Linked DNA regions of Callithrix jacchus. The protein of the gene in region 6 purifies or fractionates together with the protein of the main gene of each other region. This does not show direct contact. Links are inferred from orthologs where the notes say so. Each region holds a gene or a part of one and is shown on either strand. Other genes may lie near its edges. The genes, in order: TRIM21, MKI67, YBX1, FXR1, FXR2, G3BP1 and TARDBP.

Region 1 (3,983 bases), on a different chromosome or scaffold from region 6:
CCACAAGCATAGGCAACCGAAGCAAAATTGGACAAATAGGATCACATCAAATTGAAAACCTGCTGCACAGCAAAGAAAATAATCCACAAAGTGAAGAGACAACCCACAGAATGGGAGTAAATATTTGCAAACTATCCATTTGACAAGGGATTAATAATCAGAATATGTAAGGAGCTCAAACAACTCTATAGGAAAAAAATGTAATAATCTGGTTCAAAAATGGACAAAAGATCTGAATAGACATTTCTCAAAAGACATACAAATGACAAACAGGCATATGAACAGTTGCTCAACATCACTGATTATCAGTAAAATGCAAATCAAAACTACAATGAGATATCTCACCTCAGTTAAAATGTCTTTTATCCAACAGGCTATAACAAATGCTGGTGAGGGTGTGGAGAAAAGGGAACCCTCATAAGCTGTTGGTGGAAATGTAAATTAGTACGATCACTACAGAGAACAGTTTGGAGGTTCTTCAAAAAACTGAAAATAGAGTTACCATATGATCCAGCAATCCCACTGCTAGGTATATACCCCTAAGAAAGGAAATCACTGTATCAAAGTGATATCTGCACACTCATGTTTATTGCAGTATGTTTCACAATAGCCAAGATTTGGTGGCAACCTAAGTGTCCATCAACAGATACATAGATAAATAAAATGTGGTACATATACAAAATGGAGTACTATTCAGCCATAAAATATGAGATCCTGTCATTTACAACAACATGAATGGAACTGGAGGTCACTACATTAAGTGGAATAAGCCAGGCACAGAAAGACAAACATTGTATGTTCTCATTTGTAGGCGCTAAAAATCAAAACAATTGAACTCATGGAGTTAGATAATAGAAAGATGGTTACCAGAGGCTGGGAAGAATAGTAGGGAGGATGTGTTGGGGGAAAAGTAGGATGGTTAATGGGTACAAAAATGGAGTGAATTAGATCTAGTATTTGATAGCATAACAGGTGGCGATAGTCAATAATTTAATTGTACATTTGAAAGAGTATAATTGCATAGTTTATCACAGATGATCAATGCTTAAGGTGCTAGATGCCCCATTTATCCTGATGTGGTTATTACACATTGTATACTTATATCAAAATATTCCATGTAGCCTATAAATATACCTACTATGTGCCCAGAAAAATTAAAACTAGAGAAAGAAAAACAAAATGATGCAAAGGAAAATAAAAAAATAAAAATGGTGGCTCTGTATACCTGTATCAAAATGTTCCATGTAGCCCATAAATATACCTACTACATGCCCAGAAAAATTAAAACTAAAAAAAGAAAAACAAAATGATGAAACGGAAAATAAAAAAATAAAAATGGTGGCTCACGCCTGTAATCCCAGCACTCTGGGAGGTCGAGGTGGGTGGATCACCTGAGGTCAGGAGTTTGAGACCAGCCTGACCAACATGGTGAAACTCTGTCTCTACTAAAAATACAAAAAATAGTTGGGAGTGGTAGTGGGTGCCTGTAATCCCAGCTACTCAGGAGGCTGAGGCAGGAGAATTGCTTGAACCTGGGAGGTGGAGGTTGCAGTGAGCTGAGTTGGTGCCACTGCACTCCAGCACAGGCAACAGAGGGAGACTCCATCTCCAAAAAAAAAAAAAAAAGGGCATAATATTAATGGAAAAATAATTAATGGCAAAAACAGTATTACTTTTGCATGGACCAAATAGTTTGTTTAATAAGTTTATTCTTCTGAATAACAAGAACTCCTCCACTGTTTGGCCCATTGATCCACTGGGACAGAAGGAGAAACTGAGTCCCTAAAGGAGGGAGTGAAAATTGGCAAGAACCTCATAAAGCTGACAGTTCTCTCATGTCCATTCCTGCTTAAACCCTCAGTGCCCATTCATCTTCTTTCTGGTACCAGCAGGCCTCCATGTTGCTGAGAAACTAGTCATAAAATAGCTACTTTTAACCATGTACCTTCCATGTGCCAGAGATACTACACATGCTTTGAATACATCTTCATTAATCATTCCAATATTGGCAAAAGTCAGGTGTATATGTATGTACATGAGCATGTATATGTGAATGTATTCACACAGAGCAACAGGAACTGTGGCCAGCACTCCCTGGGCTCTTCTTTCAGCTGCTCCAAACTTAGTTTAGTTCCTGACATCACTTCTTCTATGACAAAGAGTAATTTTGAAGGCCTATACATTTCTGGTTGAACATCCTAAGCAGCCTGCCCCTCACCTCTGGAGGACTTTTGGACCTGGGAGTCTCCAGGATTGCAGATCTCCCCCACGCTCCTGGCTAGGCAGTAGTGCTGGCTCTCTCAGCTGCACCCAGCTCTCATCCCAGCTCAGGTGCCAGCAATGGGGCAGCCAGGCCCCTTCTCTTTCTGGGTAACTCCATAGTCACGTCCACACCCCAGCCTCCTCCCAAGTAGGGGGCAGCCGGAACCCTTCCCCTTCTGGGTAACTCCGCAGTCACGTCCCACACCCCAGTCTCCTCCCAAGTGCCCGGAACCCTACCCCTTCTGGGTAACTCCGCAGCAGTCATGTCCATACCCCAGCCTCCTTCCAGGTTAGGAGACCAGCCTCGGAAGCACAGAGGGGCTTGGATTGAGGGATCCCCGGTGGGAGAAGGGGCAAATGGGACCGGCTCAAGGATGGAGACTGGTTGGAAGGGGCTCTGCAGCCCTGGGGCAGGGGAGAGGTCCACTAGGAGGGCAGGGGTTCCTTGATTTAGTGAGGTTCACTCACCTTTACAGGGGACTCAACGCGGGTAGCCAGCTCCCTATTTCACTTTCAGTTTCCGCTCAGAGGCAAGTCTGACGGGAAAGGGGAGGGAGGAGGAGCCGTGAGAGGAGAGAGGGAGGAGCCGTGGGAGGAGCGGAGCCTTGAAAGGGTGTGTGGAGAAATGCCGCTGAGAAGGAAGAGAGGTGGGAGGAGAGAAGTCAGAGTTGGGCTGGCGGGGGGCTTCAGAGGCTCTGGACAGCCAGGGGGCTTCTATGAGACTGGGAAGTAATGGAAGCCCAGTAGCCTGTGGTCCTGGGTGCGCACCCCCTCCCATGTCTTCATTATCTGATTTAGTAAAATATCTGCAAGATGGGGGAGTCCGGGCTGCTTTCTTTGACACTGGTTATCACCCCACACCTAGATGCTTTGCCCATGTCTGGAAGCTGCTTTTAAGGAGGGTTGGATGCAGAGAATAGTGGCTGGTGCTCTCCCTCACGTGCCGTCATCTGTTTCTTACTTCCAGAAGCTAATTCTTTTCATGTGACTGATGTGACTATTATTTTTTTAACATCTGCAGGTGAGTGATTTATTTCGCATGACCCCGAGGTAAGTATCCCACCAGTGAGTGGTGAGAAGGGAATTGACATCTGATAACCAACTATGTTCTTATCACCGAGCTAGGGACATTCTCAGGTTATATTAATTTTTAATCGTTAAATACACAGAATATAAAATTTACCCAAGTAATTTTGTTTTAAATTTTAAATTTTCTGTGTCTGTGGTAGATGTATGTATTTATGGGCTACATGAGATATTTTGATGCACAGGTATAGCATACGGTCTGTAATAATCACATCAGGGTAAGTGGGGGTATCCATCACCTCAAGAATTTATCACTTCTTTGTGTTACAAACAATCCAATTATATGTTTTTTAATTATTTTAAAATGTATGATAAATTGTCTGTAGTCACCCTGTTATGCTATAAAATACTAGATCTTATTCATTCTATCTCATGTATTTTGAACCCATTAATCACCCCCCTACACACTCCTGGCTACCCTTCCCAGCTTTTGGTAACCATCATTCTGCTATCTTCATGAGTTCAATTGTTCTAATTTTTAGCTCCACTTATTAGTGAGAATGTACAATTGGTTGTTTGCCTGTGTTTGGTTTATTTTATTTAACATAATGACCCCTATTTTTCATCCATGTTGTAGCAAATGAAAGGTTCTCCTTTTTATGGCTAATCAGTACTCCATTGTGTATGTGTACCAC
Region 2 (4,196 bases), on a different chromosome or scaffold from region 6:
GCTTTGGCAAAGCAGCAGAAGAGACAATTCCCAAACCTGCACAAACTAATAATCCGAAGAACCATTAGGTTCCTGGAGTCTTCGGCATTCCTGTTCTAACCTGTGATCTTAAAAATGTGAACAAACTGGGGCCAGGCACGGTGGCTCACGCCTGTAATCCCAGCAGTTTGGGAGGCCGAGGAGGTGGATCATCTGGGGTCGGGAGTTCAAGACCAACCTGGCCAACATGGTGAAACCCTGTCTCTACTAAAAATACAAAAATTAGCCAGGCATAGTGGCTCACGCCTGAATCCTAACCACTCAGAAGGCTAAGGCACAAGAATTGCTTGAACCTGGGAAGTAGAGGTTGCAGTGAGCATAGATCATGCCATTGCACTCCAGCCTGGGTGACAGAGCAAGACTCTGTCTCCAAAACAAACAAAAAATATAAAAATAAAAATAAAAATTGAACAAAGTGTGCAAGGCCTGTCTGTTCTCCTTTAGAGTCTAACAATACCTCTTCCTACCCATGTTATGTGACCAAACGCGAATTAGTTTCTAAATTACAAAATCTTGTGTGAAAATATATTCAAGTACTACTGTAAAAAAGCAAAGGAACTGCCACCTAAAATGAAATGTTTATATTTTTCCTTTTCAAAAGAAAGGTATCTATGAAAAGTGAAAAGCTTCTTTAACCCCAATAAGATAATTTGATTTTAAGGTAACAGAACATCTGAGCAACGGAGAGACTATCCCTTACAACTGAGAATTTGTCTAGGAGGAAGACGCCTGTAGATGAGTGTTTCTGAGCCATGGCACTGCTGACATCTTGGGTCAGATGCTTCTGTATTGTGGGGGCTGCCCTGAGCCTGGTAGGATCCCCACCCTGACCCCTCCTCCGTGATGACAGCACATGCTCCCCTCCCCTGTATTGTGACATGGAAATTCTCCAGATTTTAGCAAATGACTTGTGGAAGGTAAGATAACCCTCCTGTGAGAACCACTGCTATCAAGTGATCGCAAATCCGTGGCGCTAGCCCGTGTTTCTACTGACCCTTGCCAGAATGCTAAGCAGAGATCCCCTATACCAGGCACCATCCCTGGCCCTGCACACATGATTAGTAACAAGATAGTCCTTTTCTTTGGGGAGCTCAGTCTAGTGGGAGACAAAACCCCACAACTTACCCCTGAAGCCATGGGGTTGGAAATACAAGCTTTCATGCAAGGCTTCTTCAGAGGCGATATTTAACCTGATGCCTGAATGATGGAAATCACACAAGGTTGGGGAAAGGGAGAACTTTCCCATGATAAACTTCCAAGTGTGTAAAAAGTACCAAGGTGAACAGGGCTTGGAATGCCTTAGGTGGGAGGAACAAGGTAGGGGATGGGGTCTGGAGGATGGGGTGAGGCGAGGATAGGAGTCAGGACCCAGACCACATAGGGAGTGACCCCTTCTCGGGCCTCTAGTGGGACATATGTCAGAGGCTGACAGGGGCACTGTTAGCAACAGTGCCTGTTTGTTATACAGGAACAGGGTTATTCAAACGGGACAGCAACGTAAGAGGAAAGGTTCTCAAATGCCAGGCAGGAAGACTTTCTGTCCCGTTTTCCTATCGCCCAAAAGAGCCAAGAGCCTTCATTCTCTCAGTGTCCCATGTGGCCAGGGATGCCCACTACCGAGGGTCCCAGGGGCACACAGTGTCTTCTGACGCCCGCCTGAAGCCAGTGAGGTATGAAGACCATCTACATCTTTCTTTATCGCGGTTAGAAAACCCAGTTTTTCAATTGGCTTGATTTCTAAAACCACTTAAATATACGAACACTAGCATCAAATGTCTACTTGGCAAAACCAACAAAACACAGCTCTGTCAACTCAGTAACATGGAAGAAGCACCAAGGAAATGCGACCGCAGGACCCGATGGCAGAGCACGTTCCGGGGCCACGTACTGTGATAAAGCCATTTTCCTTTCTCGGCCAAAAACGTCCGCGCGCGCCCGCGGGACTCACCTTCCGAACAAGCAGGTGCTGAGGCTCAGGGGAAAGTGGGGACCGTCGACCCCGCTCCTTTTGATAGTAACGATGCGTCTCGTGGGCCCCATTTTCTAAACGCTAAGTTGGGTATATAACCCGCGGAGGAAGGCCAGGTACCAATAGGTCTGCCCAGAAGCAGGCTCACAACTCCTCCCTGCAAGAGAGGCGCGGATTACCGTGAGAGCAAAGGAGCTGAGAAGGGACCCGCGAGCGACCCACCAGGGCCGCGCGCCCCGTGCGCCCACCTCCGGCCGCACAGGCGCACAGCGTAGCTGGCCAGCGGGGACCCCGGCACGGTCCGACCGCAGCCCCCGGCGCCCCCAGCAAGTCCCGCGGCCGGGGTGCTGTCGCCGGCGCCTCCCGGGAGTTTCCACAGGGACGCCCTCGCCAGAGCCCAGGAGGAGCGAGCCCAGGCTGCGCGTCCCCGCAGAGCTCGGGGTGGGGATCGGCGGTCCCCGCGACTCAGCCCCCGACTCCGGACGGTTCCCAGGAGTCCCGGCCGCAGCTCACCTGGGACGATCCGGCCCGCAAGGCCGCCTGTCGAACCACCGCTCCAGTCGCACCCAAAGTCCGCCGCAGGGGGAGCGGGCGACGCGCTCACCTCGGCCCGGCCGCGGCGCCCGCCACTTGCCGCACACCCCGGGCCGCGCTCGCTCCGCCCCGGCCCGCAGCCCCCGCTGCTCCAGCCGCTGCCCCGACGGGGACCCGGTGTCCCTACAGGCGGCGTCCCCCGACGCCCGATCCTAGCGGGTGCCACCGAGTCGTCCCGCCAGCCCGGAGCTTCCTTCCGCCAGCCCCGCGCGCCCGCCCAATTCAAACGAAAACGGAGATTCAAATTCTGGCGCTAAGCGCTACGATTGAACGGGAAAGCGCGGCGCGGGACCAATAGGAAGGCCGCGAGGACGTGGGCGGGGCGGGGGGCGGGGAAACGGGGCTCCGGGGCGGGGCTGGCGCCCTAGTCCGCAGGAGAAGACCCGGTGCAGCCCGGGAGAGGGCGGCCTGCGGAGGGCTGAGACCGAGCCCGGCCCCCGGGACGGCCCGTCCGGCCACCCTTGTCTTAAAGGACCCAACACCTGGGACACTATAACGTTGCCCATGGCCAGAAGATGTAAAACTCTCAAATATTAAAAAACCTCAGGCCGGGCGCGGTGAAGCAGGAGGATTTTTGAGCTCGGGAGTTCAGAACCAGCCTGGGCCGAGAGAACCGTCTCTACAAAAAATTAGCCGGGCGTGGTGGAGCCTGTAGTTCTAGCCACTGGGAGAGCTGAGGAGGGAGGATCGCTTGAGTCCGGGCGGTCGAGGCTGCAGTGAGCTGACATCGCGCCACTGCACTCCAGCCTGGACGACAGAGCAAAAGCCCTGTCTCAAAAAATAATAACAATGAAAAAATTAAATACAAAAATTAAAAAATAAAACCTCCCTCTTCCTTCCATACATCTTAACAAATACAACCCATTATATAAAGTAGTTTCGTGTGTCTTTTCCAGCTATACGTGTATTCTCTTTTTTCAAAAGCATAGAAAAAAGATCATAACATACACGCCGTTCTAGACTTTTGTGTTCTCTGCTTTTAACTATCCTGAGGCTGTCTCCACTGAGCACATTCTCGATTTTACTCTCGTTTCGTGGCTGCAGAGCACTGGGCTTCAGGAAACCACAATGTACTTAATCCTCACTATTGCCACATATTTAGGTTTACAATGTTTTGTTATTAGAAAACATTCTTCGATTGAAATGCCTTGTGCATGCCAAGATGGGTGAACCCTAAAATAATTATACACAGGATTCTATGGGGTCTGCCTCTGTTGTGCTGGTGGGCCACCTGGGGTGAAGTGAATGGAGCCCAAACAAGCTTCTGGTGACAACCCCACCCCCACATCTCACCTCCTCCAGCTCCTCAACAAGCCTTGGAGCTTGGCTCTCTTGATCGGGAGCAGAGGTCCTCACTGTGTGGAGGGGCCCCTGAGGGTTTCCTATTCCTTTCAGGGCAGTCCATGAGATCAAAACCATGTCGGTAATGACCCTCAGTGTTACTTGCCCTTCTCATTCTCTTGCTCCCAAGAGTATGGGGTGCATTCCACAAATGCAGAAGCAGTGAGGAGACTCCCGCTGTCTCCTATTCAACCAGGTATTACAGAGATTTACAAAAATGTGAAGTAATGCACTGTTTTCATTTTGCTGTTGT
Region 3 (2,963 bases), on a different chromosome or scaffold from region 6:
TACTTTTATGAAGGGAACATGTTTGGTTTTGAACAGGCTGGATTTTAAACACATGCCTTTTTAGGAATTGTTCATCTGTAAAGGTTATACTGTTTACAAATTTGTTTACCACTTAGCCCATTTTGATCTTTTAGAATGACAGCAAAATGTTGATGGCATTTGCCTACTATTAGCTATTTCAGGATTCATTCTGTAATGCTATGAACAAAAAAGTTTGCTAGTCCATTAAAACCAGTTTTTAAAAGTCATCTTCCAGTTTATACTCCCATCTCCTTACACAAATTGCCTACAGGCCACTTGATACAGAGAACAGGCTAGGCATGATGAATTAGTTGAGTGAACCAAATGGTAACACTGCTGGTGGGTGTGTTGAAGAGAAGAGGTTTTATCATTCTTAAGTTTGACAACATTTATTGCAGGGGCCCTCCTCGCCAAAGACAGCCTAGAGAGGACGGCAATGAAGAGGATAAAGAAAATCAAGGAGATGAGACCCAAGGTCAGCAGCCACCTCAACGTCGGTACCGCCGCAACTTCAATTACCGACGCAGACGCCCAGAAAACCCTAAACCACAAGATGGCAAAGAGACAAAAGCAGCCGATCCACCAGCTGAGAATTCGTCCGCTCCCGAGGCTGAGCAGGGCGGGGCTGAGTAAATGCCGGCTTACCATCTCTACCATCATCCGGGTAAGCAACCCTGGATGGCCACCATTTATGGCAGTCATGAATGGTGTCCATTTCATTTTATTAATGCAAGAGTGGGGAAAACTCAATTCTATCAGATAACGAAAGCCATGTTATTTACATTGTGTTCTGCCCTATTCTTAATTACCTAAATATTTCATTTTAGGAGTATTGAGTATCAGAATCATATTTGGCCACCCCTCAGCTAGTTCTCAATTCTGACACTGGAGACCTGTATTTTCATGAGTTTTTTGAACTATTGGAGCTTTCTATCAACTTTTCTGAACTTTGTGATTTGACCAGTAAGCTGAGAAAAGTTTCCCTAGCTGTATTCTGAGAAAAGTTAATTAACATTGTTATTTATGCATTATTTAATAAAAGAAGTAGTATAGCTATTAGAATGAACCTATACAGTGACAGAGTCTGTTTGGGTAAAGTGGCAACATGGATAAAATCTTTTTTTTTTTTTTTTTGAGACTGGAGTTTCACTCTTGTCCAGGCAGGAATGCAATGGTGTGATCTCAGCTCACTGCAACCTCCGCCTCCTGGGTTCAAGTGATTCTCCTGCCTCAGTTGTCTGAGTAGCTGGGGTGACAGGCATAAGCCACCACGCCCAGCTAATTTTTTGTATTTTTTGTATTTTTTTTTTTTTTTTTTTTTTTTTTTTTTGAGTCGGAGTTTCGCTGTTGTCACCCAGACTGGAGTGCAATGGCACAATCTCGGCTCACCGCAACCTCCGCCTTCTGGGTTCAAGCAATTCTCCTGCCTCAGACTCCCAAGTAGCTGGGACTACAGGCATGCGCCACCATGCCCAGCTAATGTTTTGTATTTTTAGTAGAGACGGGGTTTCACCTTGTTGACCAGGATGGTCTCGATCTCTTGACCTCGTGATCCACCTCGGCCTCTCAAAGTGCGGCGTGAGCCACCGCACCCGGCCCATTTTTTGTATTTTTACTAGAGATGGGGTTTCTCCATGTTGGTCAGGCTGGTCTTGAACTCCTGACCTCAGGTAATCCACCCATCTCGGCCTCCCAGTGCTGGGACTACAGGCATGAGCCACTGTAATCATCTGTAGTTGTTTTTTGTTGGTTTATTCAAACTGTAGGTTAATAATAATAATGCTCTGGCAGACCACATGATACATTTACGTTCTTGTTACCAGCTCACTTGTTTTTGTTAACCTTAAATTTCAAAATTAAGGGATTCATTTTCATTCAGCTTTTTGCATGATACTGAGAGGTGTATGATTGTCGTTCCCTCCGAAATTAGCATTCAACCAGAGATGATTTGCTAGGTGGCAAAAGATCTGTTAATGTCTCCCAATATATAAGTAATGTAAACTAGAGTATGTACTACATTAAATGAAGATTACCATGAATTCTACATGATCATCTTTGTTTTTTTTCTTTACAGTTTAGTCATCCAACAAGAAGAAATAAGAAATTCCAGCAATAAGAAATGAACAAAAGATTGGAGCTGAAGACCTTAAGTGCTTGCTTTTGCCTGTTGACCAGATAAATAGAACTATCTGCATTATCTATGCAGCATGGGGTTTTTATTATTTTTACCTAAAGATGTCTCTTTTTGGTAATAACAAACGTGTTTTTTAAAAAAGCCTGGTTTTTCTCAATACGCCTTTAAAGGTTTTTAAATTGTTTCATATCTGGTCAAGTTGAGATTTTTAAGAACTTCATTTTTAATTTGTAATAAAAGTTTACAACTTGATTTTTTCAAAAAAGTCAACAAACTGCAAGCACCTGTTAATAAAGGTCTTAAATAATTGTCTTTGTGTAAATTTCTGTCTAGTTTTGCTTTAGTTTATAAGTTCTTAGGTATTTATAAGACCCTTAGCCCAGTCTACAAATAGATGATGCTCACTGGTAATTCCCTCAGGTAAAATGTCTTTAAAATCTCTAATCCTTTTAAGTGGCATGCCTGTGGGTTCATACTGAAAATTAGAAAATACATATTCTGATAACCTGGCCATTTTTAAGGAAGACTTTGTGGTGTAGATTTTGTGTGGGTTCCTTTGGCTGTGTGGCAGTGCTTACAAGGGATGCTCTAGTCTAGACTGGCCAGATTCTGATCCTTCTCCACTTAGTTTTGTCACCTAGGGAGAATTTATTTCAATATGCCAATTGAAGATGCCAACTTAAAGTGTTCAGAGAACCTGTTACAGGGCCTGATGTGGTCACCAAATACTGGTTCAGCTCCTTATGTCCTAGAAATGGGAATAAATAATACAAAAACCCATGGGAAAGCTGCTTAAGAACATGGAGGT
Region 4 (3,500 bases), on a different chromosome or scaffold from region 6:
GCTTTAAGAAGACAAAAAGTCACGTTCAACTCTTTTTTGTTTTGATTGTAGGAAGTAGAACAGCTAAGAATGGAACGCCTACAGATTGATGAACAGCTACGACAGATTGGTATGGGTTTCAGACCTTCTTCCACCAGAGGGCCTGAAAAAGAGAAAGGATATGCCACTGATGAAAGTACCGTCTCTTCTGTACAAGGTTCTAGGTCTTATAGTGGAAGAGGCAGAGGTCGTCGGGGCCCTAATTACACCTCCGGTTATGGTAAAAAAAACCTTTTTTTGTTTTGTTTTATTTCTTTTTTTGGTAATAGTAGTAGTAGTAATAGTAGTTATAGTTTAGGTGCTCTAACACATTTTCTTATAATTCATTACTCTATCTTGGCTTTGAGGGTAGAAGGTAGTTCTGGAGGTTTAGTACATTTCTTAGTAAAGTGGTGATGGTATACATTAAAATGACAGTAAAATACATAAAATTTCCAAGTAGTTATGTAATGAAGCAAAGTATGTTTTTAAGTTGGTAGTTCATAATTATGTTTATTATAAATATTTAGAAAGAATACGTATGTAACTTGGTTTTCAAATATTTTGCTAGTATAGTTTTATACCTTTCCAAGTAAATACCTAGTAATGGTGGTGATACTTTTAGGAATCATCTTTGTCTACCCTCTTAAAATAAAAAATGAAAAGTATGTGAATCAGTGCCAAGGTTGCATATAGCAAGTCTTTACTAGCTTTTAAAAAATACTTTATTGACTCATTTGGTATGTTTCAATATATTAACATCTCGTATTTGGAATTATTTTGTATAATAACATTTTACTAAAATGAAGGCTTTAAAAGCCAGAATCTAATTTAATACTTTATAAATGAACATTTTCTAAAATGTATTTCACTGTGAGGATTGGGTCGTTATAACCCAAGTAGGAAGAGGACAGTGGAGTGGTGATAGTCTACAATTCTCTAATCCTCAATTCTCCCTTATTCTTCTTCAGCTTTGGAGTTGTTCCGTTTTTCTCCATTCGGACTTGGATCTTAGCAGTGCCTGATTTGTTTTTTGCCTTCACCCATTTTCTTTTCTCTTTTCCGTTCCTTTTCTTCACTCTTGTACTTACTTTCTTTTGAGGAAATACTTTATAAATCCTTTTTAAAAATGTAAGGCATTTAAGGAAAATAGCGATAAATGCAAATTTCGTGATTAATTGAAGGATAATCTAATACTGTAAAAATTACAGTGAGCTTGAACTATCTTTCATTTGTTGTAGAGTTGTAAGTTGGTGTCCCTTTCTGTTAATATCGTATTTTTATATTCTCATTTTCTTACATATATATTTTTATTTAATGCTGTATTGAAACGTAAAAAGCAAAATTCTAATAAAGAAATGGTCAGCATATAAGGGACCGAAAATTGCAAACTATTACTATATTCCTGAAAATATATTTAATGCAAAACACGGTTAACCAGTAATCACACAGAAATTATATTTTCATTGATTTTTGAAGCATACATATTATTAGCATAATTAGATTTGGCTTATTGGATGATGAATATGATGAATTCATTGAAGAATTTTATTAGCCTCTGGGAATTCTGCTTATTGATGAGAGCTTACTCTGGCAAAATGCTTTTGTTGAGATTAGATAATGAATTTATATGAGAGGTAGAAAAACATCATCTGGATTTAAGAAAGCTATGCAAATTCTTCAGTAGATGGCACTCTTAGCTCTGAATCATTGCAGAATTAATACCATTTTATTTCTTGAAATAGTTATTTAACCTGAGTGGGCTTGAAAAAACATTTGAATGTGGTTGTAGATGTTCATGTATACTTTATATCAGAGGGACTTTTAGGTGATTTATATATATATATATATATATATATATATGTAATATAACGAGTACTATAGTTCATCAGTTTAATAGGAACTGTTAAAAACATTTCCCAGTGTAACATCTCTGAAGTTGTTATGTCTGTTAAATTGGACATCTTACAACTTTAATTAGCAGTATTTTCTCTTTTTTAATGGCATGTAAAATAATATCTTAGAATTGATGTCATCTTGGATTTGATAAAATGTGATTATTTTTTAGCTGTTAAGCCTAGCACAAAAAACAATTGAAATTGATGTATACCATCTCATGATAAGGTGAATTTAGAAGTTTGAGGTGAAAATATGATATTAAAATTGATTAAAAACACGATGTCATGGAGACATTTAAAATTAAATTAGTGTCGTTACTTTTAAACTTGTTTAAAAAGACTTTGAATCACCAACTTGTATTTTATAAAATTGAGGGATTAGAATAAATGGTTTCACTGGTTTCCTTATTCACTTTAATTGCAGTAATAAATTACCACAAACTTGTAGGCTTGAACCACAGACATTTATTGCCTTATATAGTTCTCTGTTGGTCAGAAGGCTGAGATGGGTTTCACTAGGCTAAAGTCCTGTCAGCTGGGGTACATTCATTTCTGGAAGGTCTGGGCAGAGATTTCCCTTTTCTGAAGTTGAGAAAGTTTCTCTACTTTGAAGGAGCCAGTGAGATTAGTTTGAACCCACCTGGATAGTCCAGGATAATTTCTCTCTTTCACGGTCTTTAACCCTAGTCACATTTGCAGAGTCCTTTTTGCTATCCCAGAAACATTTAATATGAGTTATTAAGAGTTTTTAATAATCTTGATCAGTAGCCAATTCATTAAAACTTTGGGGGTGGTTTGGCCTTAATTAACAGTTAACTGTTGAAATCTATTATTTAGACATTTCTTCTGAGTATCTTGAATTCTATATATAGGTTAAATTTAAGGAAGACTTTCTTTGCTGTGACACTGGGTTAGATAAATAGTAGACTAGATTTCTAAGGTTACTTGAATAGGAATTTTTGAGAGAATCTTCAAAATTAAGTATTCTTGATTTGCCCTGAATTTTGGTAATGTTTTCAGGTAGGGTATAGGTTTGTAAATAAATTCAGAAGTTCTTAAACATTCCAAAGGTTTTTTTCACTCTTCAAGGAAAGATAAATTGCCTTCATTGCAACTTCTATGTTAATAAAGTGCTTTTTGTCATTTGGAGAAATAAATGTTAGGGGAGATAAAGTCCCTTTCCTGAGATTGTATTTCCCAACAAAGAATTGAGAGTGAATAATAGAAACTTGATGTATTCAAGTTGACATTTTATTCCCTGCACCTTAATACTTAAAACTTTTTATGTCTGAAGAGCTCTTGTTTGCATTTTTTCTCAAATGATTGTGGAGCTTAAATATAGGGAACTTCAAGGTGTTTCATGAAATCACTCTTGTCTGAGAGTTTAGCAAATGAACTTCAAAATAATGCAGTAGATTTTTTGCTTGGAAAATTGTTACACACTTTGCTAGGCATTTGAGGACTTATAAGATGGAGTACTACCCTGTATCGTAGACGAATTTTGAAGTAATTCCCAAGGGGAGGAAAATAACACAGCACAGTCTATGATAGATACGGGGTGATTTTAGGATAACAAAAAATGGG
Region 5 (2,270 bases), on a different chromosome or scaffold from region 6:
GCTGGAGAAAAAGCTTAGAGCCAGATCAGAACACCAGCAAGGAAAGAAGGCTGGACACCAGGCTTTCAGAGGCTGCTGTGAGGGAACCCTGCTCCCCTCTTGCCAAGGCCCAGCCCAAGCCCCAGGCTTCAGGTAATCGGATTAAGCAGCCTGCCTTGGCTCCCAGCTTCTAGCAGGAACAGCTCCAGCTCTGAGCAGCCCTGCCTAGCCTGTGCCATGACTCAGGGTATAGGAGTGGCCCAACTCCCTCTACCAGCAAACTTGGGGGAGGAGAGAAGCAATAAGGCACAAGACCCCCTCCCCTCTGGACCAGGAGCGAGTACCTGGACCTGGGGAGTTTAAGAATGTCAGAAATTCCCAGAAGACAGACCATCTTTGGGACAAGAGACAATGAGAAATCAGGTATGGAGGAAAAGAAAATGAGCCAGGGGCTAGGGCAGGTCAGTCCTAAAGAAACAGATGGACCAAACTGGGGACAAAGGCGGCACAGGAGCCACAGAGCCATTTGGATTTTTTTATTCTCTTTTTAAATACTGTACAGTGAAAAATAAATACGCCTTCTCATCCACCAGACAAGGTCGGTCCCCTCCCCCTGGGGACCTTGTCACCCCCCTTCATATACACCCCTGGTTCTACTCCAAAACCTTCCCCGTGCCTCCCACCCACTTATCTCTTACTATCCCCGTCTTCCACAGTGATGAGGCCCCAGAAATGGGGGGTACAGGATGGGAGGAGGGATAGCAGGGGAGGCCCCCTGAACGGTCAAATCTGGGTGGGTCAAGGAGCACCCCCCCACCAACAGGTGGAGAATGGGGGTGTTCAGAGAGAGATTGGGGCATTAGAGGATAAAGGCACATCCAGTCTGATGGGGGAGAGAGGCTCCCCTTACCCTGGGGGTAGGGTGGACAAGAGGGAGGGGGTATGACCCTGTTACACACCCCTCCACTAGCTCCTGGAGGTTGGGGGGTACCCAAGCTGCTGTGCCACCCCCCTCCCCCCTAGATAAGAGCAGCTCCAGCGCAGGTCAGTTGGGCCTGTGAGGGCCATGGTGTTGGGCAGCAAGCGAGATGGAGAAGGGAGGGATGCAGGCTGGAGGTTTTATGAAACCCCATTCACCATACTACCCAACTCCAAGGGGGCAGAGAGCTCCCCATTCTCCGAGGGGCCCTTAGGAAGCTTGCTGACAGAGTCACCCTGAGAAGCAAGTGGGAAAGAAAACAAAATCAAGCACACGGTGAGCAGAAACTCAGGTGAGGGACATTTCCTACCATCCAAGCACTCCTGGCATCTGGTGATCCAGAGGTTGGTTCCTTGATCCCATGATCCAGTCTCTCTTACTTGGGATCCAGAAAATGTGAACTACATAATCCTCTCTATCCCATTCGAAGTTGACACTATTCTAAACTCCATCAGACACAACTGCCTCTGCAATTCAGTAACAGATTTCTTTTTTCTTTTGAGACAGAGTTTCGCTCTTGTTGTCCAGGCTGGAGTGCAATGGCGCAATCTCAGCTCACAGCACCCACTGCCTCCCTGGTTCAAGCCATTTTCCTGCCTCATCCTCCCAAGTAGCTGGGATTATAGCCATGCACCACCACACCCAGCTAATTTAGTATTTTTTAGTAGAGACAGGGTTTCTCCATGTTGGTCAGGCTGATCTCGAACTCACACCCTCAGGTGATCCACCCGCCTCAGCCTCCCAAAGTGCTGTGATTACAGGCGTGAGCCACCACCCCCAGCCTCGGTAAATTTCTTTGTGAAATTTTGTGCACCCCCTGCCCCATAATAATAAAAAAAAATGATAGAGTAAACCACATCTTGCCTGCCTACCTTCTGTCCTGAAAGAGAGTCCTCTGAGGGTTTAGTGCGTTCCAGGGGTGGCCGCTGGCGGCTCTGAGACTCTGCTCGTGAGATATAGTCAGCCACAGTCACTAGGGAAGGCAGGACATTAAGACTTTGAGATAGTTTGCCATGAAAATTACAAAAGAAAAAAAAAAGATGGAATTCTGGTAGCCAGCCCAAGATACCCACTGAACCCGAACCCCTGATTTTCACAGGGTAGGAAGTATCCCATTCTCTCAGCTCTGAGGAAGAATTCTGGTGTCCAAAGTTGGCTGACCTGGTTGGCGGTCTCCACTGATAGAACCATCAGTCCGATTACCACGGTTACGGCGGCGGCGGCTGCGATTACGACGTTGGGGTCTTGATTCGTCTTCTGTAGGGTAGGGAAAAACCAGAGTCACACATCCAACCTCCCACCCTCAATTCTT
Region 6 (2,767 bases):
ATAAGCTACAAAAGTACAAGTTGTATTTCTTCCTATTATCACTGATCTGGGTCAAAGTGGTTACCAAAGTTACTTAAACTAACCCTCCAGAAAAGCCATGTGATTCAGTTATGTTTATGTAAAGGAGATGCTGCCAATTTTCAAATATTTGAGGAAGTGGAACCAAACTAGTAACACCAACTTCACTGTAGTCTTAACTGACCCCTTCACAGCAAACCTAGAGTTTCTCAGTCTTAACTGACCCCTTCAGAGCAAACCTAGAGTTTCTCAATAATGCAAATATTCCTATACTATCCTCAAATGACAGTCCTCAAGATGAATACTGTTAAGAAAATAAATAAGTGACTTTGACAACCTGGTTGCCCTTCAATTAGTAATGACAAGTAATCACACAAAGGCTTGCTTCACACTTGTAAACAAAATCTTCACCCATCTCACACACAGCACTCAACAAACAACACATATGTGAAACGAGTATTAGTCTATATTGCCAGATTAAATTTTCTTCCAGAAATATTTTAATAAAAATTGGCCATTTCCAAGAAACACCCACTGCATGCCCATCAATAAGAGAACCATAACAAAATAGAAAATTTACACGAGCACATCAGCAAAGTCCAATATTAAAGTCACATTCCTTCTTATGGGCTATGATTAGGAATCTGATTAGATACCAAAATAAAACTTAATACAAATGCTGAACTACTTAGGCCAAAGAACCTCTATAGAAGCATCTGTCTTCAAAGGCATTCCAGTTTGAGACTCAATTTTAGAATAAGGCATAACAAATAGGTTAACAGAAGACATGTAAGTTGATGAAAGAGGGATTCTACAATTCCCCACATACTCTGAACCTAATAATAAACAAATCTAGATTTTTTTTTTAATTATTTTTCTTTAAACAACTGCCAAGACTGAAATCAAAGATAAATAGAAGGCACAACAGTTTTGCTCTGGTTGTTATCTGGATTTGGGGAATTTTTTTGTTTTTTGTTTTTTTTACAAATACAAATTAAACATGAAAAAAAACTCTATTTCAAAAAAACTAAGTTCATGAAAAGCCTATCAGCTGCATTCTAGACATTTAAAACCTATATATCACAATTTAAATTTCAGTGGTAAAAACAGTAGGTTTTAGAATTGTTTTGTGATCCTCTATCAAAAGAAAATTCTATTCCTTTTAAACATACCAGTGAGAATCAAAACTGTCAAATTTTCCAATGGCAATTTCTCCACACCAGAAAGAAGCCATGACTCTCAAAGAAGAAACAATTTGGGTTTTTCCTGCCTTCAAAATGTTATCAAATCCTGTTTGTCTCACAGGCTTTTGAAACTTGTAGAAAATAAGAAATATTCCAATGAATGAAACATACCAAATGTCAGTAATATGCAAGACACATTCCTTTGGGGAAATGGCTGTTAAAAAAAAAAAAAAAGTCCAGTCTGCATATGCAAAGTAAGCAAGGAAATTCAGTCCTTTTCTTTTTTTCTTCTTTAAAAATCTGTTACTCCTAAAATATCATTCCACAAAATTGGAAGTGAAAGACTAAAGGGCAGGAAAGGGAAGAGAAGGAGAGAGGGATCACACACCATTAACACACAAAAAAAGTAAAATTATACAAACTTATGCAGTTTATAACAGACTGGGGTCATACTCCAAGATACCAAAGGCTGGTCGAAGAAATTCACCATTCTGTAGGAACTAGGGTTCGTATGGCTCCGTGAAGATACATGAAGATTCACTGCCGTGGAGCAAGCCCCCTTCCCACTCCAAATCCTGGTTTCTGCACCATGCCTCCACGGGGAGGGCCTCTCATTCCACCACCCAGCCCACCTCGAGGGCCTCCAGGTCCCCGAAGGCGATTATCTCGTCGGTCCCCCTCCCTGGCAGCTCGAGTCTTCTTCTCTTCCACGTTCAGACGAACCTCACCTCTGAACATGATGGGCTGTAAGAATCAAGGTGACCAGACTTAGAGTACTGATAAGCTGGCTATGACAACAGAGGATTAAAAAAGCTATAAAAAAAACAAAACAAAACAGCAGCGGTCAGGGGCGGTGGCTCACGCCTGTAAATCTCAGCATTTGGGAAGGCCAAGGTGGGAGGATCACGAGGTCAGGAGTTTGAGACTAGCCTGACCAACATGATGAAACCCTGTCTCTACTAAAAAAATACAAAAATTAGCCAGGCATGGTGGCACATGTCTGTATTCCCAGCTACCCAGGAGGCTAAGGCAGGAGAATTGCTTGAACCCAGGAGGTGGAGGTTGCAGCGAGCTGAGATCGCACCACTGCACTCCAGCCTGGGCAACAGAGCGAGACTCCGTCTCCTTAAAAAAAAAAAAAAAGAACCAGCAGATTATACATCAACTGAGTTCTCACAGTTCCGCTTTGTTTGTTTTTTTTAATGAGATGAAGTTTTGCCTATCACCCAGGCTGAAGTGAGCAAGATCTCCGCTCACTACAACTTCCACCTCCCGGGTTCAAACACTTCTCCCTGCCCCAGCCTCCCAAGTACTTGTTTTCTCATAGAATTACGTAAATTGAATAAAGAATTGCCACCTTCTCCACAGATGGTGGAGGCCTAGAATAAAACTGCATCATCACCAATGTGAAAAGATGGCACTGCACATATTTATGCAAAGTACATATACATTTCAAATAAAACCTTCATTGATTTGACAAACTTTAACTTGCTGTTCACCTTCTAAGAATTTCGAATAGTCTTGGTCTTCTTTTCCTCCTAACAGAGCCAATGCAGTTAACAGGC
Region 7 (3,500 bases), on a different chromosome or scaffold from region 6:
TTTTGATATCAATTGTAGTGTGTTGGTTTACCAATCAGGCAAACAACAGTTCACTTTCAACCACTCAATATTTCAACCTTTCATGTAACAAAACTTAGAAAATTCCTTTAGCTCTTCCTTTTTTAAAAGAAAAACGTCAAAAATACTGCTGAATATACTCCACACTGAACAAACCAATTTTGAAAATTCTTAGTACATGTATTTTACAATATACTTACCAGTGAGTTTAGAAAAATCTGAATTCCCACCATTCTATACCAACCAACCACAAACTGTCTACATTCCCCAGCCAGAAGACTTAGAATCCATGCTTGAGCCAAAGCCTCCATTAAAACCACTACCCGACCCTGCATTTGATGCTGATCCCCAACCAATTGCTGCACCAGAATTAGAACCACTATAAGAGTTATTTCCAGAACCAAAGGCCTGGTTTGGCTCCCTCTGCATGTTGCCTTGGCTTTGGTTATTACCCGATGGGCCTGACTGGTTCTGCTGGCTGGCTAACATGCCCATCATACCCCAACTGCTCTGTAGCGCTGCCTGGGCTGCAGCCATCATGGCTGGATTAATGCTGAATGCGCCAAAGTTCATCCCACCACCCATATTACTACCTTGATTGTTTCCCAAACCAGCTCCACCCCCTCTACTATTACCAAATCCACCCTGATTCCCAAAGCCACCTGGATTACCACCAAATCTTCCACTTCTTTCTAACTGTCTATTGCTATTGTGCTTAGGTTCGGCATTGGATATGTGAACGCTGATTCCTTTAATGATCAAGTCCTCGCCACAAAGAGATTGCGCAATCTACAAGAAATAAGGGATGTAAACAAATAAGATTAAACCACTGATTTATACATCAAAGTAGCAACAAAACTTAGATTACAAGCATTAACTAAAGCCAGAGGAAAAATAAGCAATGAATGCTCATTTTGTTTAACCCCACAATACAGCTTTAGTTTTAGTAATAGCAGCAGTGATATTTCAGTCTATTTTCAAAAGACATAGGCTCGGCATGGTGGCTCATGCCTGTAATCCTAGTGCTTTGGGAGGCCAAGGTGGGAGGACTGTGTGAAGCCAAGAGTTTAAGACTCGTCTGACAGCCTGGGCAACACAGTGAGACCCCACCTCTATTAAAGACAAAAACCCTGCAAAAAAACCACACTAGCTGGGCATGGTGGCATGCACCTGTTCTAGCTACTTGGGAGGCTGAAGTTGGAGGATTCTCTTCCTGGAGGCTGAGCCCAGGAGTTCTAGGGTGCAGTGAGCTCTGATTACACCACTGCATTCCACCAGCCTAGGCAACAGAGTGAGACCCTGTATAAAAAAAAAAAAAGGGTGTGTGTGGGGGCTCTCACCTGTAATCCCAGCACTTTGGGAGGCTGAGGCAGGCGGATCACCTGAGGTTAGGAGTTCAAACCAGCCAGATCAAAATGGTGAAACTCCATCTCTGGGCGTGGTGGTACATGCCGTTAATCCCAGCTACTTAGAAGGGTGAGGCAGGAAAATCACTTGAACCCAGGAGGCAGAGGTTACAGTGAGCTGAGATCACACCACTGCACTCTAGCCTGGGCAACAAGAGCAAAACTCTGTCTCAAAAAAAAAATATTTAACATTCCCAAATGCCATATACTGAAAATTATCTAAAGGTTGATTTACTTTTAGAAATTTCTTAAAAATGTTGTATTTGTAGCCGGGCATGGTGGCTCACATCAGTAATGCCAGCATTTTGGGAGGCCAGGGAGGGTGGATCACTAGGCCAGGAGTTCAAAGACCAGCCTGACCAATATGGTGAAACCCCACCTGTACTAAAAACACAAAAATTAGCCAGGCATGGTGATGTACATCTATAGTCCCAGCTACTCAGGAGGCTGAGGCAGGAGAATTGCTTGAACCTGGGAGGCGGAGACTGCAGTAAGAGAAGTGCCACTGCACTCCAGCCTAGGCAACAGAGCAAGACTCCATCTCAAAAAACAAAAAAGTTGGGGCGGGGGGAACATCTAGGCCCATACACTCTACATCTTATAAGGTGAAAAAACTTAGCTAAGAACAGCAATTAGCTGGATGGGAAATGTTCAAGAGAAATTACCTAATTACCTGGCCCATATTGTTAAGGAGAAAAATACCTGATCATCTGCAAATGTTACAAAGGCAAAGGCCCTGAACGGCTTGGGGATGAAGACATCCATCACCTCCCCGTACTGGGAGAAGAACTGCCGCAGCTCGTCCTCAGTCATGTCCTCTGTACAGCGCCCCACAAACACTTTTCTGCTTCTCAAAGGCTCATCTGCACTTTGCTGGTCAAATCAAAAGGAAGGAAAAAACTCAAATATAAACAATGAAAAAAGCATTAAGGTAAGGGATATAACAAAATCTTTCTGCCTTGGATAGTAGTGAGTTATTAAAAAGGGACATACTCTTAATTTTTTTGCATCAACATTTCTTTTTCTTGTAAGGCTTCAATAAAGAGTAACATTTTAAGTTACAAACGTACACAGTCATGCATCACATAATGATGGAAATATGTTCTGAGAAATGAATCATGAGTCGTTATACCATTTCATCACTGTGGCCAGGTGTGGTGGCTCATGCCTGTAATCCCAGAACTTTGAGAGTGAGGTGGGTAGATCACCTAAGGTTATGAGTTCAAGACCAACCCCACCTAGTCAACATGGCAAAACCCCATCTCTACTAACAATACAAAAATTAGCTGGGTGTGGTGTCGGGCGCCTTTACGTAATCCCAGTGACTTGGGAAGTTGTGGCAGGAGAATCGCTTGAACCTGGGCAGGGGAGGTTGCAGTGAACTGAGACTGCACCATTACACTCCAGCCTGGGCAACAACTCCATCTCAAAAAAATTAAAAAAAATAAAAATAAAAACTTCATCATTGTGCAAACATCATATAAAACCAGATAGCTTCTACATTGCTGATAGCCATTACTGGAGATAAAGAAAAAGAAAAAAGAAAGAAAGCCAGATAGCATAGCCACCCCACATCTAGGCTGGATGGTATAGCCTACTGCGCCTAGGCCACAAACTTCCAAGTTACTATACTCAACACTGCAGGCAACTGTAACCCCATAGTAAGTACGTGTATATCTAAACATGGAAAGGGGACAGTAAAAACAGTGTTATAATCTTACGGGACCTCTACTGTACACTTGGTCCACTGCTGACTGATGAATTTTGCAATGTGATGCATGACTGTATTTGGATTTGAGAAAATCAATAAATGACCAATCTCCTGGCAAAGATGATGATGTGCCAAATAAGCAGATGTTACTTGTTTGCTTGGACAAAGTTAGATTTTATAACAAGATTAATATATATATATATATTCTGATTGTCTTCATGTTTTAACATATAACTATGTAAGGAAACTTAACTTGACAAATAACCTTTTCTCTTTCACATCCATAACAAAAAGAACAAAATGAACAAAGCTTTAGTTTGAAGAAGTAATAAACTAAATATCTGCAACAAGCATAAAATATTCAG

What was found.
Region 1: the proteins of G3BP1 (region 6) and TRIM21 purify together in Homo sapiens (affinity purification with mass spectrometry; 3 studies listed by BioGRID, with this or other methods). This does not show direct contact. The link is inferred for Callithrix jacchus from reciprocal best matches to the Homo sapiens genes G3BP1 and TRIM21.
Region 2: the proteins of G3BP1 (region 6) and MKI67 purify together in Homo sapiens (affinity purification with mass spectrometry; 3 studies listed by BioGRID and IntAct, with this or other methods). This does not show direct contact. The link is inferred for Callithrix jacchus from reciprocal best matches to the Homo sapiens genes G3BP1 and MKI67.
Region 3: the proteins of G3BP1 (region 6) and YBX1 purify together in Homo sapiens (affinity purification with mass spectrometry; 3 studies listed by BioGRID and IntAct, with this or other methods). This does not show direct contact. The link is inferred for Callithrix jacchus from reciprocal best matches to the Homo sapiens genes G3BP1 and YBX1.
Region 4: the proteins of G3BP1 (region 6) and FXR1 purify together in Homo sapiens (affinity purification with mass spectrometry; 3 studies listed by BioGRID and IntAct, with this or other methods). This does not show direct contact. The link is inferred for Callithrix jacchus from reciprocal best matches to the Homo sapiens genes G3BP1 and FXR1.
Region 5: the proteins of G3BP1 (region 6) and FXR2 purify together in Homo sapiens (affinity purification with mass spectrometry; 3 studies listed by BioGRID and IntAct, with this or other methods). This does not show direct contact. The link is inferred for Callithrix jacchus from reciprocal best matches to the Homo sapiens genes G3BP1 and FXR2.
Region 7: the proteins of G3BP1 (region 6) and TARDBP purify together in Homo sapiens (affinity purification with mass spectrometry; 3 studies listed by BioGRID, with this or other methods). This does not show direct contact. The link is inferred for Callithrix jacchus from reciprocal best matches to the Homo sapiens genes G3BP1 and TARDBP.

Annotation. Positions count from the first base shown.
Region 1 is NC_133511.1:69,716,676-69,720,658, forward strand, and holds the start of TRIM21 (E3 ubiquitin-protein ligase TRIM21), read right to left. Parts: upstream 2,801-3,983; 5' UTR 2,731-2,800; intron 423-2,730; 5' UTR 346-422; intron 1-345. UniProt on the Homo sapiens protein: E3 ubiquitin-protein ligase whose activity is dependent on E2 enzymes, UBE2D1, UBE2D2, UBE2E1 and UBE2E2.
Region 2 is NC_133513.1:121,424,362-121,428,557, forward strand, and holds the start of MKI67 (proliferation marker protein Ki-67), read right to left. Parts: upstream 2,801-4,196; 5' UTR 2,522-2,800; intron 2,166-2,521; 5' UTR 2,080-2,165; coding exon 1,988-2,079; exon of another isoform or gene 740-1,987; intron 1-739. UniProt on the Homo sapiens protein: Protein that associates with the surface of mitotic chromosomes and acts both as a chromosome repellent during early mitosis and chromosome attractant during late mitosis.
Region 3 is NC_133508.1:79,348,634-79,351,596, forward strand, and holds the end of YBX1 (Y-box-binding protein 1), read left to right. Parts: intron 1-419; coding exon 420-654; 3' UTR 655-685; intron 686-2,095; 3' UTR 2,096-2,463; downstream 2,464-2,963. UniProt on the Homo sapiens protein: DNA- and RNA-binding protein involved in various processes, such as translational repression, RNA stabilization, mRNA splicing, DNA repair and transcription regulation.
Region 4 is NC_133516.1:9,219,982-9,223,481, forward strand, and holds part of FXR1 (RNA-binding protein FXR1), read left to right. Parts: intron 1-51; coding exon 52-259; intron 260-3,500. UniProt on the Homo sapiens protein: mRNA-binding protein that acts as a regulator of mRNAs translation and/or stability, and which is required for various processes, such as neurogenesis, muscle development and spermatogenesis.
Region 5 is NC_133506.1:74,085,407-74,087,676, forward strand, and holds the end of FXR2 (RNA-binding protein FXR2), read right to left. Parts: intron 2,216-2,270; coding exon 2,120-2,215; intron 1,932-2,119; coding exon 1,831-1,931; intron 1,195-1,830; coding exon 1,099-1,194; 3' UTR 501-1,098; downstream 1-500. UniProt on the Homo sapiens protein: mRNA-binding protein that acts as a regulator of mRNAs translation and/or stability, and which is required for adult hippocampal neurogenesis. Specifically binds to AU-rich elements (AREs) in the 3'-UTR of target mRNAs.
Region 6 is NC_133503.1:50,740,861-50,743,627, reverse strand, and holds the end of G3BP1 (ras GTPase-activating protein-binding protein 1), read right to left. Parts: intron 1,947-2,767; coding exon 1,740-1,946; 3' UTR 501-1,739; downstream 1-500. UniProt on the Homo sapiens protein: Protein involved in various processes, such as stress granule formation and innate immunity. Plays an essential role in stress granule formation.
Region 7 is NC_133508.1:48,894,193-48,897,692, reverse strand, and holds part of TARDBP (TAR DNA-binding protein 43), read right to left. Parts: intron 2,298-3,500; coding exon 2,127-2,297; intron 808-2,126; coding exon 277-807; 3' UTR 1-276. UniProt on the Homo sapiens protein: RNA-binding protein that is involved in various steps of RNA biogenesis and processing.